5 linked regions of the Xenopus tropicalis genome follow. The main gene of each other region encodes a partner of the protein of the gene in region 3 in a complex. Links are inferred from orthologs where the notes say so. Each region holds a gene or a part of one and is shown on either strand. Other genes may lie near its edges.

Region 1 (3,500 bases), on a different chromosome or scaffold from region 3:
GGAGTACTTTTCAAACTATGTTGTTGGAAAGCAAGAATGTCAAACAAATTTCTAACCAATTAATTATGTACTTGGCTAAGCAAACTTTTTGATTTAAGGATCCGTAAAAGTGTTACCCCATCAATGGACAGCAGTCATATGTCCCAACAGCTATCCTGGATGGGTCTTAATGCAGTGTTTTATCTTGGTGACTTCACAACTTGCTTTTAACTGAATGTTTCCCCATCATATAAAAAAAAACTGTGATTATTCACATAATTACGAATACAACACTGTTTTTCATGCAATATTGTTTCCATGTGCCATGATCCAAATATAGTAACTTTCAGTAGCGTAACTACAGAGAAAGCAGACCCTGTTTTTCTCTATAGCCACTCTTGTCCCAGGAAAGTTTGTGTGCACACTGCTGATAGTTTGCAGTGGGTGCGCAAATGTTCCTGGGACAAGAGCACGCACTTGAGAGCAACTTTTGACAACAGCAATTGAAAACACTGCTTTTTACTTTGTTGGGGTGAGCTGAATTTGAAAAGCACCATTATCCATTTTGTTGGCAGCATGTTCTATGTGGAAATTACCAAGGTTTTAATGCAGTGGTAAAGGTGGCATTTGGATCCCTGCCCCATATGCCACAAGTCAACTGACTCTGCTTCTAAGTCTCACAAATGCATCAGCATGTAATTGTATACTATATGGTACCAATATTTACGAATCATATGTTAAAATCAACACACCACCCATGTAAAACTGTTATGTGCTACGCTTCTGTTCAGTAAATTAGAACTGTATGGATCCTTATTACCCAATTACTGAGTGGGTGGGCATTTTATGCTGATACATGTGGTTGCCATTGAAACTACTTGAGTATCTGAGGTGATACATTAGAAGCAATTACAGTGTAATATCGGTCCCTTTAGCCTACTTGAGAAAGTCTAACCCCGTATGCAATAAAAGATGTAGCAGTTACCCATAGCAACCAATAAGATTAGAAGTGTGCTTTTAAACAGGTGACCAGTAAATTCTACCTGCTAATTGGTTGCTATGGTTTACTTCTCTTGGGCAAACTTAGTGCACTTTATTACATAACCCCCTAAATCTTTGACTTCTGTCACAATATGAATCATGTAACAGACCTGCAAATGTTTTTTAATCTGTGTATATACCAACTGTCCTAATATTGTGTCCATAAATATTTAGCATTTTTAAAAAGTTGTGATTTGTCTCTCTCCATAGGAGACACTTGCAAATTTAGAACGGCAGATCTATGCTTTTGAAGGGAGTTACTTGGAAGACACACAGATGTATGGTAACATTATCAGAGGTTGGGACCGTTACCTAACAAATCAAAAGTAAGTTTGGATTAGTAAGCTTCTGTTTTTGTTTAACCCTATATGCCCTTTGCTTTAGAAATTTGATGAAAAGATTAATACAACTTAATCTGATTCACTTACTGTTTAACAGACTACAGTAGTCCCCCAACCACAACTACATTTACTGCTATAACTCACTTTATTAAAGATCTGGGATTTATGGTCAATGCTTTAATATGCTTTTTTTTCCAGTTAATGTGCATTACAATTTATGCTGCAATATGAAGCAAAATATGAACTCCTGACAGTATTTAGAAAAAGAATGCATTGAAGTGCACTGTAGTTTAGAATGTTATTTGTTCCTTCTGAAACTGGCAATACATGTAATTTCATAAAATTTTGTCTATGAATATGAACAGTATGGTTGCCAATAATCATACACTATGGATACCTATGAGAAAGGGCTTGCTGGAGAATAGTGCCAAATATATTTTTATATGTGAATCTAGTAAACAAAATTTTCTATTGCAGGAATTCAAACAGTAAGAATGATAGGAGGAACAGAAAGTTCAAAGAAGCAGAACGACTTTTTAGCAAATCTTCCGTAACATCAGCTGCTGTAAGTACAATTTAAGAAAGCTTTCATGGTTAGTAATGAATGAACATTAAAGAATAAGTAAACCTTTTATTTTATAATCCCTAAAATGACTAGCTAGCTCCGCTGTGGTATTCTGCATCTGTAGGTCAGCTTTACAGAGACACTTTTCATTGAAATAGACTCAAAGGGGAGGGAGCAAGGATGGGGCTCATTGGAAGGCAGTGGATGGGGGGCTTTTGTCTAGGGGAGGTTTAGTTCTTCTTTAATGAAAAGCACAGTTTTCATACCACAGTCTTACTGCCACCACTGCATGGGTTTACAATTTGGCGCATTTCATTAATTACTAACAGGCAGATGGACAATGGTATTTTGTTTACTGTTGTTTTCTTCTGGATGGCATCACTAGACTAAACACTCCGTGTGCCATAGCCCTTAGAATGGCCAACTTATAAGGCCTGATTATGACCATCTTTTCATTTGCATGGTAATCTTGTTTTGGTAATTACAGTTTCAGTCTATGTACAGATTTTTTTAGGGCATAGCCACATCGAAAAACATTTTGGATCTCTGGGTTCTTGTACAGGTCATTTATGTAGAACTGTGCTGTCCAACTTATAATAAAAAGTGGACCAATTAGGTGGTAACCAGTAAGTTTGTGGACCAGATTATAATTCAATTATGACATAAAAAATCTGTGGGGTGCATATGTACGCCAGTGCCTTAAATTAATTTGGAATGCCACATTCAGGTGTTGAATCTCCAGTTAGACGAGTCCTTCTGTTCAACTTGCTCATATTATATTCTAAGCTGCTATAGAAAGTGCCTTATTGCTCTATAACAAATATTTGTGTTTACACTTTAGGCTGTCAGTGCATTGGCAGGTGTTCAAGACCAGCTGATTGAGAAACGTGAGTGTAATGTTTATATGTTTTTTTGCTTTGTATTTGTCTTCAAGTGAGATGAGAGCATAATTTAATGTGTCATGCATCTTTTATTGCTGATTTACTTTCAGATACTGTCTTGCGCAGGATCTCCACTATTCTTTCTTTTTGCCAAAACCTTCCTTATACTTACATCATACTCCAACATGCTCTGAAATGTTAAAGTAATCTTTGAGCTGTTATTTATCAGTATCATAAGACTTTAAAAAGGGTTTGTATATCATTACATTTTATGTTGGCAATGGTAGGTAGCCCATCTGTACCATGTATGCATTAGCTGCAGTTATAGAATTGTGTGTTTTCATTTTCGTGGATTTTTTTGACTGCATCTTATGCGGTCTTGCTCTGTTTTTTTTTTTAGGGGAGCCAGGCAGCGGAACAGAGAGCGACAACTCTCCAGATTTTCAGAACCAAGAAAATGAGCCTAGCCAAGATGATACAGAGGATTTAGATGGTTCCCTGTCTGGTGTTAAACCTCAAAAAGCAGCTTCTTCAGCCAATTCTGGTGGCCATCACAGCAGTCACAAGAAACGCAAGAATAAAAATAGGCACAGGTTGGCTGAAAAATTGCTTAGAACTGTAATTTGCTAAAACTGTATTTAAGGACACTATTTTTATTTTTTAATAAAAATGATTTAGAAGTTTTACTGTTTC
Region 2 (2,301 bases), on a different chromosome or scaffold from region 3:
ATGGGTCCATTAATAGATCTGGAGACACAAATGTATTTTAGTCATGTAATTTCTCTAATATGTAGTAATTGGGCTGAAAATATTAGTCTTCCTTAAAGAGGTTCAACACTTTTTGGCATAATAAAAGAAGATGTAACTCTAAGCAACTTTTTTTATACAGTTATTCAATGGTGTTCAATAACAAAAGCCAAAAGATTAACAGACCTGCAGAAAAACACTACTTTTAAAAGCAATGTAATTTACAAATAACCATTGAACCACTCAATTGTTTAGTGCATAATGGAATGTTGCTTAGAATTATTAATCTCTTATACAAACAAACAAAACCTATTTTGGGTGGAGGCCCCTTGGTATCTAATTTCACTTCTTACATTTCTATTGGTACTTATTGTTCATAGGTCAGGAGTTGTTCCATTTGTTCAGAAACTATATGTATGGTTTGTGTATTTCTTACGTGCAATGTTCTGCTATTCTCCCAGGAAAGATAAGATTAAGTCCTCTCGGAGTCAAAGCATTTTTATTACCCAACACAATTCAAGACATAGTATTTCCACAATGAAGCTCTTACTGTCCAAGAAGTGGCATCAGTGTGCACAAGAGGCAGGAGGTGCCAAAAGTATTCCAGGAAAATAAATGGTGGGCAAAGTTTTGGTTACACAGTCCTGGAGCATTAATGACCAATGAAAACCAGGTCTAGGGTTATAGATTATTCTGAATGCCCCTCAGGCCTTCACTGGCCCCTTTCCTTGTGTCCTCTGGTAATCTTGTTGAAGCTTAGTAAGGGATGCCCTATGTTGCTCTGAACGCTGCTCCATATCCTTAAGTGTGGTCTCATATCTTTTGCTGAGAAACAAACATTCAAACATTATACAAACCAGTTATTAATCTCAATACAGACTAAAGAAAAACACTACTCACATTTCTCCATTAATGTACTGAAGTCTTTTATCCACAGTAGACTTTGCCTCTTCCAGGTCCTGTTTTACCAGCACTGGACCAATCAGCTTATATACAGTGTTACTGTCATCCAGAAAAGCCAGCTCCTACAGAGATATATAGAAACACACATACACATTTCATTCTTAAGAATCACACTATATTGTTATTTTTTATATTTACCCGACATTCTATATATTGCCAAATATGATTACTGTTAATGTCTGAAATCTTCTTTTCTGTTCCTGTTTATTTTGAAAATACATTTAAAAAAAAAAAAAGTTTCCAGGACCATTTTAGAAATGATTATGTATTTGCCTAATGGAAATATTAGGAAGAAAATGTCTTTGCCCTCTCTTTCTGCAGCTTATATAAAATGGGTTATTGTCTTAAGATTGCAGTTTTACCTTTGAATACAAACCCTATTATTTCCCACAGTGCCACTATTCCAGCAGACAAAGGACGCAATTTGTCATAATTGAGATAACAAAATCATAAGGTTGGATTAAAAAAAACTATTTTTATATATTTATAAAATTTTTGACCATGTGCAAAGCATACAGTCCTCTTTAACCCCCTCCGTGGCCTAATTTGCATATGTAAATTAGGATTCAGTTTGGTATTTGCCCAAATCTTTTCAATGGATTTGGGGTTTGGCCGGATACCAAAATAGTGGATTTGCTTCATCCCTAGTATAAAGTAGAGGAACTTAGATCTGAGATGTTAGAGCTGAGGTCTTTTTTACTTAACCTTCACCTAGAGCTGGGCGGTATGACCAAAAATTTATATTACAGTATTTTTCAAAATTATATCGGTGTCACGGTATTTGACGGTATTTTTTTTTTCCATGCATGATTAGGTGTTAACCCCATTTCCTAATAAATTAGAAAATAATTACTGCAGTATTGAAAATCAGTCAAGCGAAGGATCGGCAACAGAAAGTCGTAAGGTAAATCAGGCAGGCTTAGTTTCCCAGGCAAGGCCGCAGACAACATAGCACAGGAGGAGGCGTTTGATAGCTTTAAATACCCCCCACGCATGCACAGAACCGGCGCCGTCAGCGCATCACGGACGTGCACGCTTTGACATGTACGTGCGCTTTGACGCACGCGCACCTGGATGCGCGTGCGCAACGTCCCGCGGACAACAGGACGCACGCGAGACCGGGCCGCACGGGTGAGTACCCTGACACCCCGGTATTGCGGTATCTGAAAAATGAATATAGTTTTAAAAAAAACCACCGGTATTCGGTATTAAGCGGTATATCGCCCAGCCCTACCTTCACCAACTCTTTAATACAGTGCAATTGTAAACATGTGTAGTGTGATACAACAACAATTCAGTTTGAGAATTTGTCTGACATGG
Region 3 (3,500 bases):
GTTACTAGTCCACTGCCTGTCACAGTAAAAGAAAGCGGGCATCTAAATATTCGTCATGACCATACCCCTGATCTGCCCAACGACACCCTGTTACATCCAGAAAATACAAAGCACCCTTTGTGGTACATAAACTGGAATTTTGTATGTAGCGTCTCCAGTCCCCACCCTCCAAAATGGTGGCACTTTCTTGTGCACAGGCTCCTGCACTGTGATCACTGCCAGGGAACTTGGGCACAGAACATTGCCACCAACCCTGCTGCCATGCTTTGCGTTTCATGAAGGTGTTGAAAGCACTACCTCATCACACAGAGCAAAGGGTTTCTTGAACATAAGTCATAACCTTGAACATGTTTATACATATTTGTCTAATGGGAATATTAACAGGTGACTATTTCCTCTTGCTTTGCTATCTCTTGCTTCTGTGCAAGTGTCACATACTTTGCTAATTTATTTTGACTGTCGGGCCACACATTCCCTTCTACCTTCCATAGCTCTCCTCTTGTACCCTGTCCACCAAACCAACAAGTGACATTAGCTTTATTATTCTCATTAGTCAGTGTTGCACAGAGTGAAGTCCCCCTTTGCATAAGGATAAAGTCTTTGTTTCCATTACAAGTGATTTTTGGCTTTTAGAAGAAAATTGATGTTTTTTCTTCCCTCAGCGCCAGTTTTGTGGCATGGTTTTGATTCGATGTGCTTTTTGAGCGAGATACTGTATTTCAAACACAAGCAGTGAAGCAGTACTTAATTTGGAGTCTGTTCTGACAAGTTCCTGCTGAGAACATTTGGGATTTAGTGGGCTATATGGAGAGATGATCTGATAGCAACAGAAATTCTCAGTGAACCAGGAATTTGGATTGTTAGGGTGGGATGGTGGAGCCAAAATTATAAGGGTGCAGTATGGATCTTCCATAAGCACAGTCAGACCAGGCTTGTTTGTTGTGAATATTTAGTGATAAGTAAAGTTGTGTCCCTTTTGCACTTACAGTGTGACTGTCTGGGTCCTTAAGGTTGCCATACACATAGCAATTTCGATCTTTTGTTCGACCATCGTTCCCACCCTCCACTGAAGTTCAGGGCTGAATCGTCCGATATGGAGGTAGAAACAATAGAAATTCTACCTCCTGCCGATTCAGCCCTGAATGTAGATTTTGCTAAAAAATCTTTTAACCTGGCCGATCGATGAGTTGAGCGATATCCGCAGCCTTTTGTGATATCGGCCGCCTCGTTGAGCCGCCATACACGCACCTTATATTGTAAGAAGCGAGGTTTCCTACGATATCACCGGTTCATGTATGGCCGGCTTTAGTGCGTCCTGAACTGAGGTAAGTCACAGGAGTTCTTTCTAGGGTCATCATTAAGAACTAATCAAAATACACAGGGGGTACTAATTTGTTAGGCACCACAGTGAATATAATCCCTAAACTTGGATCCTGACCCCCTATGTTCAAGCATTTCCCAGGAATCCTTTGCTGCTGTCAAGGAATATTCTTATGCTCAGTATAGTAATATTGGTAGTCATGTGAGGAATGCTGACCTGGGTTCTAGGGTAGGAATTATGTTTCCTGCAGCGGGTCGGGTACCCACAGAACACCCGCATATATGTCAGGAATGGGGGGAGGCAAAATCCTAGATGTCTTGACTGTGCGGGTGGTCCACAGGTACACAGTGGAGGTAATTGGGGAGGTTTCAGGCAGCTTTAAAAACACAAAAAGACCTGAGTTTACCAGCAAACTTGCCAGTTTCTGACCTAACTTCTGGTTCTCAAGTCAGCCCCGCCACAAAATAATGACGTTACTTCCGTTTTGCCAAGAAGTTGTTTGCGGTTCGGGAAGGCACTTCTTCGAATTTGTTCGGGTATGGAAAGACATCATAGTCAATACAGGTGTGTGGGTCCAGGTCTAACTGAAGATACACCAAAATATACCAAAACAGACCCATGCAGGACTCTTCCCTGGAGGATGGGATGGCTAAAGTTAAAGTGTTGCTGCTTAAGTTATTTTCTAATGGGCAGACTAACTGTAATAAATAGATAAATGGGCCTGCTGGATATACATTGTGCCCATTTGGGCCATTCAGTTTTCTTTGGATCAGCTGGTCCTTTAGGGCAGTGACATACCGGCCAGTCGTGTTTTTAGGTGTACATGCATGTCTATGGTGCAGGCAGGAGTGACTGCTGGAGACTTCACATTCACTTTCAGGCTTGCAGCCATTATTCACAACAGTACCCCAATTGTTGGATTGGATTGTACCTCTTCATGGTGGGCAGAGGTGCCTGACCTGGGCTATGTGACTGCACTACTACAATCTGTCAGAGCTGTTTAATATGTTTCTCTTAAATTACAGGCATGTGGGGTAATAGTGGAGCTAATTAAAAGCAAGAAAATGGCTGGGAGAGCGGTGCTGCTGGCGGGACCTCCTGGAACTGGCAAGGTACCTTATTTTTCTGCATGTTTCTTTCACCTGGATCCTATTTAACCATGGAAAATGCAAAGCATCAGGGTGTATATGTCTCCTATGCCAAACTATGTTTTGACTGCTGGCATTGCCCCCTTGTGTTGAAATGTTCATAGTTCCACTTTAAACCTGTGAATCACATACATAAACATTATACAAGGATAAGCTTGTTATACAGTGGGATTATGCATAATACATTACTGCAGCCTTTTAAAAAAAAAAATAATAATTTATATTGGAAACAGTAAAAGAAAAAAAATCTTTCATTAGATCAACAGTAATACCAGAGATTTCATTTGTAGAGCCTTTAACCTTGTGAATCAGAAAAGAAGATGGGGAACTACTGGGGGCATTTCTAGAGGCAAAAGGGCTATAGTCTCCTCCAGCTGGTGCTATAAGGGCAGTCTCGCGTGCACCGCCCTTTTGCACCTTTGGTCAGGCCCACGTGGCTTCCTTACTCTGCTCTCTTTCATTTTTATATTCCTTGTCTCCTTACAGACTGCTTTGGCTTTAGCCATTGCCCAGGAACTAGGCAATAAAGTTCCATTTTGCCCCATGGTTGGCAGTGAAGTTTATTCCACAGAGATCAAGAAAACGGAGGTCCTGATGGAGAATTTCCGGAGAGCCATCGGTAAGTGGTTGGTGGGCAGCTTGCTATGTCTGACTTTAAATGGTAAAATATACACAAGGTGTTGGAATTTTCCATTCTTAAGCATCTTAATGAAAGAGCTGAACTTTTGAAGCCAAAAACTCAAAGTAAATGCTAATCAGCCATTTCACATGTAATATAGGAGGTTACAAAGAGCATAAATAGAACATTTTTATAAAGCAAATGTGTCATTCTTCCTGCATAATATTTACCATAGTAAAAAAAATCTATTCTACCCTGCCCCAATAATTGCCCTATCCTGCACACCATTTATTATTTTGAATGCTTTATTAGAAAATACCTGCTAAAACTTGGCTTCCGGTCATTTTAAATAGGGCGATACGGCAATGCAGGGGAAGAACCCACTATGCGATGATCGACTGATCGATCCTAG
Region 4 (3,500 bases), about 97 Mb from region 3:
CAGATACCCTAAGAAAATGTTTACAAAAAAAAGAGACAAGAAATCCTGTGTTTATTTTGATAGAGGACTCAGTGCAGCGTTTCTCTGAGTGCTTATGGCTGTATTTACATAGTTTTACCTTTCCTTCTCCTGTAAGGCAATTCCTCTTGTCCTTTAATAAGTTGCAAAGTAAGATTTCCTGGAATTAGGGAAAGTCCTAGGATGTAATATGTCAAAATGGAAAAAATCCTTTATTCACACTCCATAATGGAAAGCAATAGTCTGGAAAAAAAATCCTTATTTGTATGTTTATATATCATACTGCCTCTTCTGCTAAAACATTCTGTAGATTCCAGGGACATAATGAGTCTGTGTTATGAAGTGAAATCATCTCATTTAGCAAGAGGTTCAGAGTATATGAGATTGCTTTAAATAGATACAGTACCTATATAGCTTTGCACCATTTGAGAAGGTAATGATATGTGTAGGTCAAACCAGACATTACAGCCATGGACCCCCACAAAACATCAAGGACGTATAAGAAACACGTTACTTGGGGAGAAGATAGAAAAAAATATGCAGTGACAAGAATGAATGGGAGGTTCTCTCATTGCAACTTTAACATCTCTAATTTGCATTTTGAGTGGCCTCAAAAGTTAACTTAATGACAAAGACCCCATTACTAGATGCTGACATGAGAGATACAAGTCAGAGCACAAAAACAGATGTAGTTTACAGCTTATTCAAATGACATTAAAGCAGAGGCAGTACTAAGCATGGCTCCTATTTGCTGATAACAGTGATATTTTTTTTATCAAGTCAGAGAATGTGTACTGTATTTTCTCAAATTTCCCAGGTGCGCCCCGGGCATTATATGTCGGTTTGATCAGCGGTAGTGTCCCATTTATTAGTTCTATCCATTGTTGAATTGTGGAGGAATGGGGCTCATCCACTTCATTATTACTACCTTTTTTGCATAGAACACAAGGGAGCGTAGTAATGCTCTGGATTTTTGAAGGGGTACTAATTCACCTATTATTCCTAACAAACATACTTCGGGAGACCTGATGCCAGGAAGAGACAGGTGTTCCTCTATATAGTGGGTGACTTCTGTCCAGTACGTTAATACTTTGGGACAATCCCAGATCAAGTGGAGGAAACCTACTTCTGCCATATTACATTTAACACATTTGGATTTTTCTAATTTCCCTATGGCCTTGAGTTTCAGAGGGGTAATGTATATTTGGTGAATCATCTTAAACTGGATCATTCTCTGAGTGATATTAGGAAGTGTATAAGTGATATTAGGAAGTTGTATAAGTTATCAGTTGTTTTGTCCCATTGATCTTCATCCAGGGATGGAACATTTGCCAGCCATTTGCGTTTGGCCTTGTCAAATGGAGCAGGGTGTGAGGTCTGGATTATGCTATACAGCTGGGAAACTAGTTTGGTTGGGTCTAAAGCCCAGAGTCTAGTTTCCCATGACAGTAGTGTGGGTGCGAGTTGGTAGGTCCCAAACTGGGAATGAAAAGCATGTCTCAGTTGAAGATAACGGAAAAACTGAATATTTGGCCCGTTAAGTTTGACTTTCAGTTGTTCTATTGATACAAAACAGTTTTCAATCAGTAGATCGTCTAGGTGTCTGATGGCCAATATTGGAAATCGACTAAGTGTCTCATATGTGGTAGGTTTGAGTTTCTCCATAGGGGCGCTTTGCCTGATAACTGAGAAAGAGGGGTACAGACCTTAGCTTGTGGTGAGTACCTCGGGTAAAAGGGGAAGGTCAGCCTGTCGTCTGTATGGCAAGTTGCGTATGGCCTCTAGGGAGCCCATAATTGCCGCATGCAGTGCAGTTAATAAGTTGCTGCGGTCAGGATTAAACCAGTTATGTATATAGGATAGTTGGGTTGCAAAGTAGTAATTTTGTATGTGGGGTTGAGCAAGCCCCCCTTTTGCTTTTGAAGCAGTGAGTGTGAGCCATGATATTCTTGGGGCTTTGTTGGCCCAAATGAAAGAAATTAATTCACTGTTTAGGTTTTTAAAGAACTGGTTAGTTATATACACCGGCGAGTTCAACAGTGGGTATAGGAATTTGGGCAGGTACAGCATTTTAAAGAGGTTTATTCTTCCCCATAGCATCAGCGGTAGTTTGTTCCAATGAGGAGTTACGGATTTGAATTTTGCTAGGATGGGCTCTAGATTAGATATTTACTTTTATGCTAAAATTGCACTAGTCCAGTTAAAGATTCAAATTCCAGGCCTGCATTTAAACAGCCTCTTTGGCAAGTGAATTTGCCCATCAAGTTACCAACAGGGTATTCATTTGTGTAGAAGTTGGGAAGTGGCTTGATGTGGGGGAATGATTTTGTGGCAGCCCTGTTTCGAGTTTAACAACTGTCCTCATTGGTATCTTCATTCCTCTTTTTTTTGGCAGATTTTGCTGGTTGAGATGTTTTCCCATGCATTATTCTCAATTAGGGCCCATTTCACCAGGTCACTGGGAGCTTTGGGAACTGTATAGAGCAGCCACTTGGTCTGTGGTCCAGTTTTACAAAACCCTAGAGATTCTATTTATGAATAGAGCTGTGACTAATTGGGACTTGTCCATTCTGGCTGTCCCTATGCACTCATAAATATCTTCCTACTACCACTGACTCAAGTACCAGCATCTTGTATAATATTCTAGCTTGGCTTATTCACCCTTTGTTGCTTTTTATAAGATGGCTGCTTTCCAGTAAAGGTAGAACTCAGGATAGAGGTGTTTTTTTTTTCTCTTGGTGGCCTGTTTCTGTGTAGAGTAAGTTTACATACTTGCTTAATATGTTTCCACATTTGTCCTCAGAGAAAATCATTTTACTGTAAGTACAAAAATCCCCTTTTCTTTCTTACACAGAGGAAGATTCCCGAGTTGATCCCACCTCCGGTTGTTCCCCCCGCAGCAGGTGGAAAATCTCTTCCTGTGCCGGTAAAACACATTCCTCTATTTCTATCACTCTTCCCAAACCACTGTTAAATGCATATACAGACCATAGGTATCTGCAACTCATTTTTCTATTCTTTAAAGTTCAGTTAATTCACTAGATTTTTCCATAACTGTGTCTTGTGTTTCTCTAACATCAGAAGCGGAAGGTGGACATTGTATCTCCTGCAACTCCAGTCCCACCACCTCCAGAGACAACCCAGGTCACTGTCTTTCCACAGGTAAAGCTGCTTATTCAGACTTATTTTGCCAAAAAATGCTGCCTTTGAGTGGGTAAAAATGTTGCATTATCAAGTTTTTATAGGTGTTTTTCTCCCGTAACTGAATTAAGCTAAAAAATATAAATGGTACTACTGAATGTTTCCATAAATATGCATACAATTGCTGATAAGTGAATTTTGTCCTTTACATTTTTAACTGTTCTAGAAAAATTACTGTTTAAAGTGAAATTGCCTCAAAAGTCATGTAAAACTTCTATTAGCATATGTTATACACAACCCAAAATGAGCCTCACACGCTCTATTCCTTTGCTTATTCAGCA
Region 5 (3,438 bases), on a different chromosome or scaffold from region 3:
TGATGACGATTACGTTGAAGATGGTGCCGAAGGGGAGGAAGAGGAGGAGGAAGATGGTATGTTCTTGGTGATACTATTGTATATCTGCAAAAAAAGCTGTAATTCTGATTTGTTTGCCCCCTATATCCCACTATACAGGTCTGACATAATAATTTTATTTGTTTCTAGAAGAGGATGAAGCAGCAGCAGCAGCTGATCGGGGAGAGAAGAGGAAACGGGACCCAGAAGATGACGGAGATGAGGATGAAGATTGAAGCCATTGTTTCTGGAGGCTAGGACCAGTCTCTTTTCTGAGCCCTTGGGTTAATGCTAGAATAATGCAGATCTGTATGTCTCTACATGTACAATAGATATCCCTACAGAATTTAACTTGGTAACTTTTTATAGGCAAAGTGTGATTTTACAATTTGTGTGCCCTTTTTATCATTCCAAGTAAGATGTAAGATCCTGTTAGTACATTTAGTTTCCCTTTCTGACCCCATTGTAATATCTTGTGTTCCAGAGGGCTTAACCACGTTTTAGGGTCCTTTTATGGGGGTGGGTTTAGGGTGGGGAGCCATTAGCCCAGACATGAAATTGTTTCTCTGCTCCATAGTTCTAATAGGACTTGTAAAGCAAACCAAGAATGCTTTATGGCATTGTCAAACGGCAGTCGTGGTTTCTGCCTCACCTTTAAAGATGTTCACCGTTAACTTTTAGTATCACGTAAGCAATGAGATTCTAACAGCAATTCTTTGTTTTCATTCTTTGTAGTTTTTGCAACTTTGCCTTTTGTTCTGCAGTTGCAGTTAAAACTCTGGTTGCTGGTTCCCACTTACCTTAGTAACCAGGCAGACTGAAAGCTGAATAGGTGAGGGCCACATCACATCATACTAAAAGTTAATTTAAAGGTAAACAACCCTTCTTGAAGGTGGTTGGTTTTGACATTGACAAAGCTGCTGTTTTAGGGTGAAGACACACAGAGCTACTAGTAGCAGCTACTTGTCACGGCTACTAAAATAGACAATGCTGATCATTTACTGATCATTGTCTCTACGTGTGTTTGGGCAGAGGCGATTCTCGGTATTGTCTATGGCAGGGTATTTGCTGGCATTTAGTAGCCGTGAAAAGTAGCTGCCACTAAGTAGCTCCGTGTGTCTTCGCCCTGCAGAATCTGTTTGCTTAATATTACACTAGGGTCGGCCACTTACCATTTCCCTGTCCTTGGGAAATTGCTGGTAACAGCTAAGGTTCAGTTTTGTGTTTAAAGTGATTAAATGGGACTTGCTGAAATCCAGTAGTATCACTGAGTGATCTCTTTTCTGTAGATAAAATGAAGTGTAAAAACCCTTCCTTGTGGCTTTGACATGGGTTTCTTGTTCCACATGACACCTCAGATGGCAGTTTCACTGCTTGCATCGGCAATCCTAATGTTCCACTCAAGGTAGGAGCATCTTCTGGTCACAGGGTGGAGCCTAGTAAATTAGCACCGCCCCCCTTTTACTTTAAAAGAACAGTAACACCAAAAAATTAAAATATATTAAAGTAATTAAATTATAATGTACTTTTGCATTCACTGGTGTGTTTGCTTCAGAAACACTACTATAATTTATATAAATATTGTGTAGCCCCGGAGGGCAGCTATTTAAAAGGAGGAAAGGCACAGGTTATATAACGGCTAACATAAACTCCGTAGAATACAATGGTGTCTTATCTGTTATCTGCTATGTAGCGTGAGCCTTTTCTTTTTATTCCAGCTTGAATAGCTGCCCCCGGGGCTACACTATCTTATTTATATAAACTATAGTAGCTGTACCAGTGCAGGGTAACAGTAAATTGTATTTTAATTACCTTAAAACACTTTCATGTTTTGGTGTTACTCTTTCTTTAAGAAACATTTTTGAAGGCCAAACCCATAGGGTTGGAACCACAGTCATAAGCTGCCTCGTTTTTTTGTTTTTTTTTTATATGAAAACACTTGTTGCTACAGAAATTCAGATTTCAGTACCATAATGTTTCATTATTACATATTCTTTTAAGGAGGGGGGTTACTATTGGCCATTTTACAATACAGAGAAATGCACATCCCTGCCTGTTTTCATCTGGTTTTCTGGATCCCTACACTCTTGGCAGACCAAGCAAGGATGTCCGATCTAACGCCACAAGACATCACCAACTATACAGTTTGTTACATTCATGGTTCTTGTATTTAATGGCAAAGTGTTGATTAGTTAACGTGCTCAATAACCTGGAAAGCAGCACCTCATATGACCCGTATATCAGCACATATTCCCTGAAACAATTTGTAAACATTGGAGAGTAATAATGAATCCCTTAGATGCCCGTTTCCCTTTTAAAAGACCATAATTGCTTGTTAATAAATGTTAACAGTGTCATTAGATTGTACTGGCAAACTTAATTCTCTTTAATTCCTGATCTGTAGGGAGTAATGAATCCTGGGGGTTTGGAGTTATTGGACAAGGGAAATAGTTTCTTGGTTTCCATGATTTTAAACATATATAAGTTTTTTCTTTGTTCCCATCTGTGCCCATAGCGGCATCCCTATGCTGTTGTATATTAAAGACATAGAGGCATGTAAGTCTGACTTCATCACATAGATGCATGGCTACCACATGCTCCTTACATACGACCAGGGCCTGGTGTGATATATTTATTCCTATACCAAAAACCCTCTCCCTTGTATCATGCAAGCCACTTTATGCATCTTGGAAACAAAACTTTCTATCTTATCATAACACCGGCCTTTCAAATATATATATATTTTATTTTATTTTTTTCGTTTGGTGAAAATATATAAGGGCGGGTTTTTATATTTGCAGAGGGGGTTTGTCCTATTTTAAATACTCTTTTATGGCAGTATGTATATAGTGTGATCGGTTACTTTTTTTGATTCTCTACATGTGCGACTTTGTTTTTGAATAAAGCCATAACAGTGTTACATAGCGTGGAGCAGCCGTCATTTTGTGGTTCTGACCTGTGTGTGGCGTATTCCTGTGTTTAACCCCTAGTTGTCTTTTTTTAGGGGGATCTGAAACCACAAATGGTGAGGAAATAATTACAACGATTACCACACGTTGTACTGCAATAGCCAGCCTTTTACAATGCAAGTGCTTTCAGGTAACCTATTGTTTCCCCTATTCATGTAACTGGCTGGACTTGGGTGTATTACCATTGGGTGCTATTCTTATATCTACCACTAGGTGGTGCAATGGAAATTTTTTAGTAATGCAGGTGTTGGGGAGCTGCTGTTTGCTTACTTGCCTATTGTGCTACTGGGGGGTGAGATCACTCCCAACTTGCAGCGCAGCAGTAAAGAGAGACGTTTATCAGAGCACAGGTCATATGGCTGAGGGCAGCTGGGAAACATGTCTAGCCCTGTATCAATTTTAAGTAATAAAAAGTAACTATAAAATTGTTGCAACACTGAGGAACAGTTTT

The links.
Region 1: ruvbl1 (region 3) and meaf6 share a complex: the UniProt entries of both Homo sapiens proteins name them as parts of the nuA4 histone acetyltransferase complex. The link is inferred for Xenopus tropicalis from reciprocal best matches to the Homo sapiens genes RUVBL1 and MEAF6.
Region 2: ruvbl1 (region 3) and pfdn6 share a complex: the UniProt entries of both Homo sapiens proteins name them as parts of the PAQosome complex. The link is inferred for Xenopus tropicalis from reciprocal best matches to the Homo sapiens genes RUVBL1 and PFDN6.
Region 4: ruvbl1 (region 3) and kat5 share a complex: the UniProt entries of both Homo sapiens proteins name them as parts of the SWR1-like complex. The link is inferred for Xenopus tropicalis from reciprocal best matches to the Homo sapiens genes RUVBL1 and KAT5.
Region 5: ruvbl1 (region 3) and anp32e share a complex: the UniProt entries of both Homo sapiens proteins name them as parts of the SWR1-like complex. The link is inferred for Xenopus tropicalis from reciprocal best matches to the Homo sapiens genes RUVBL1 and ANP32E.

Annotation. Positions count from the first base shown.
Region 1 is NC_030678.2:86,132,697-86,136,196, reverse strand, and holds part of meaf6 (chromatin modification-related protein MEAF6), read left to right. Parts: intron 1-1,230; coding exon 1,231-1,346; intron 1,347-1,838; coding exon 1,839-1,926; intron 1,927-2,767; coding exon 2,768-2,813; intron 2,814-3,207; coding exon 3,208-3,400; intron 3,401-3,500.
Region 2 is NC_030684.2:72,109,385-72,111,685, reverse strand, and holds the end of pfdn6 (prefoldin subunit 6), read right to left. Parts: intron 1,044-2,301; coding exon 919-1,043; intron 844-918; coding exon 723-843; 3' UTR 501-722; downstream 1-500. UniProt on the Homo sapiens protein: Binds specifically to cytosolic chaperonin (c-CPN) and transfers target proteins to it. Binds to nascent polypeptide chain and promotes folding in an environment in which there are many competing pathways for nonnative proteins.
Region 3 is NC_030680.2:134,985,309-134,988,808, reverse strand, and holds part of ruvbl1 (ruvB-like 1), read left to right. Parts: intron 1-2,346; coding exon 2,347-2,433; intron 2,434-2,955; coding exon 2,956-3,088; intron 3,089-3,500. UniProt on the Homo sapiens protein: Possesses single-stranded DNA-stimulated ATPase and ATP-dependent DNA helicase (3' to 5') activity; hexamerization is thought to be critical for ATP hydrolysis and adjacent subunits in the ring-like structure contribute to the ATPase activity.
Region 4 is NC_030680.2:37,912,955-37,916,454, forward strand, and holds part of kat5 (histone acetyltransferase KAT5), read left to right. Parts: intron 1-2,872; coding exon 2,873-2,944; intron 2,945-3,099; coding exon 3,100-3,180; intron 3,181-3,498; coding exon 3,499-3,500. UniProt on the Homo sapiens protein: Catalytic subunit of the NuA4 histone acetyltransferase complex, a multiprotein complex involved in transcriptional activation of select genes principally by acetylation of nucleosomal histones H2A and H4.
Region 5 is NC_030684.2:129,172,520-129,175,957, reverse strand, and holds the end of anp32e (acidic leucine-rich nuclear phosphoprotein 32 family member E), read left to right. Parts: coding exon 1-56; intron 57-168; coding exon 169-254; 3' UTR 255-2,938; downstream 2,939-3,438. UniProt on the Homo sapiens protein: Histone chaperone that specifically mediates the genome-wide removal of histone H2A.Z/H2AZ1 from the nucleosome: removes H2A.Z/H2AZ1 from its normal sites of deposition, especially from enhancer and insulator regions.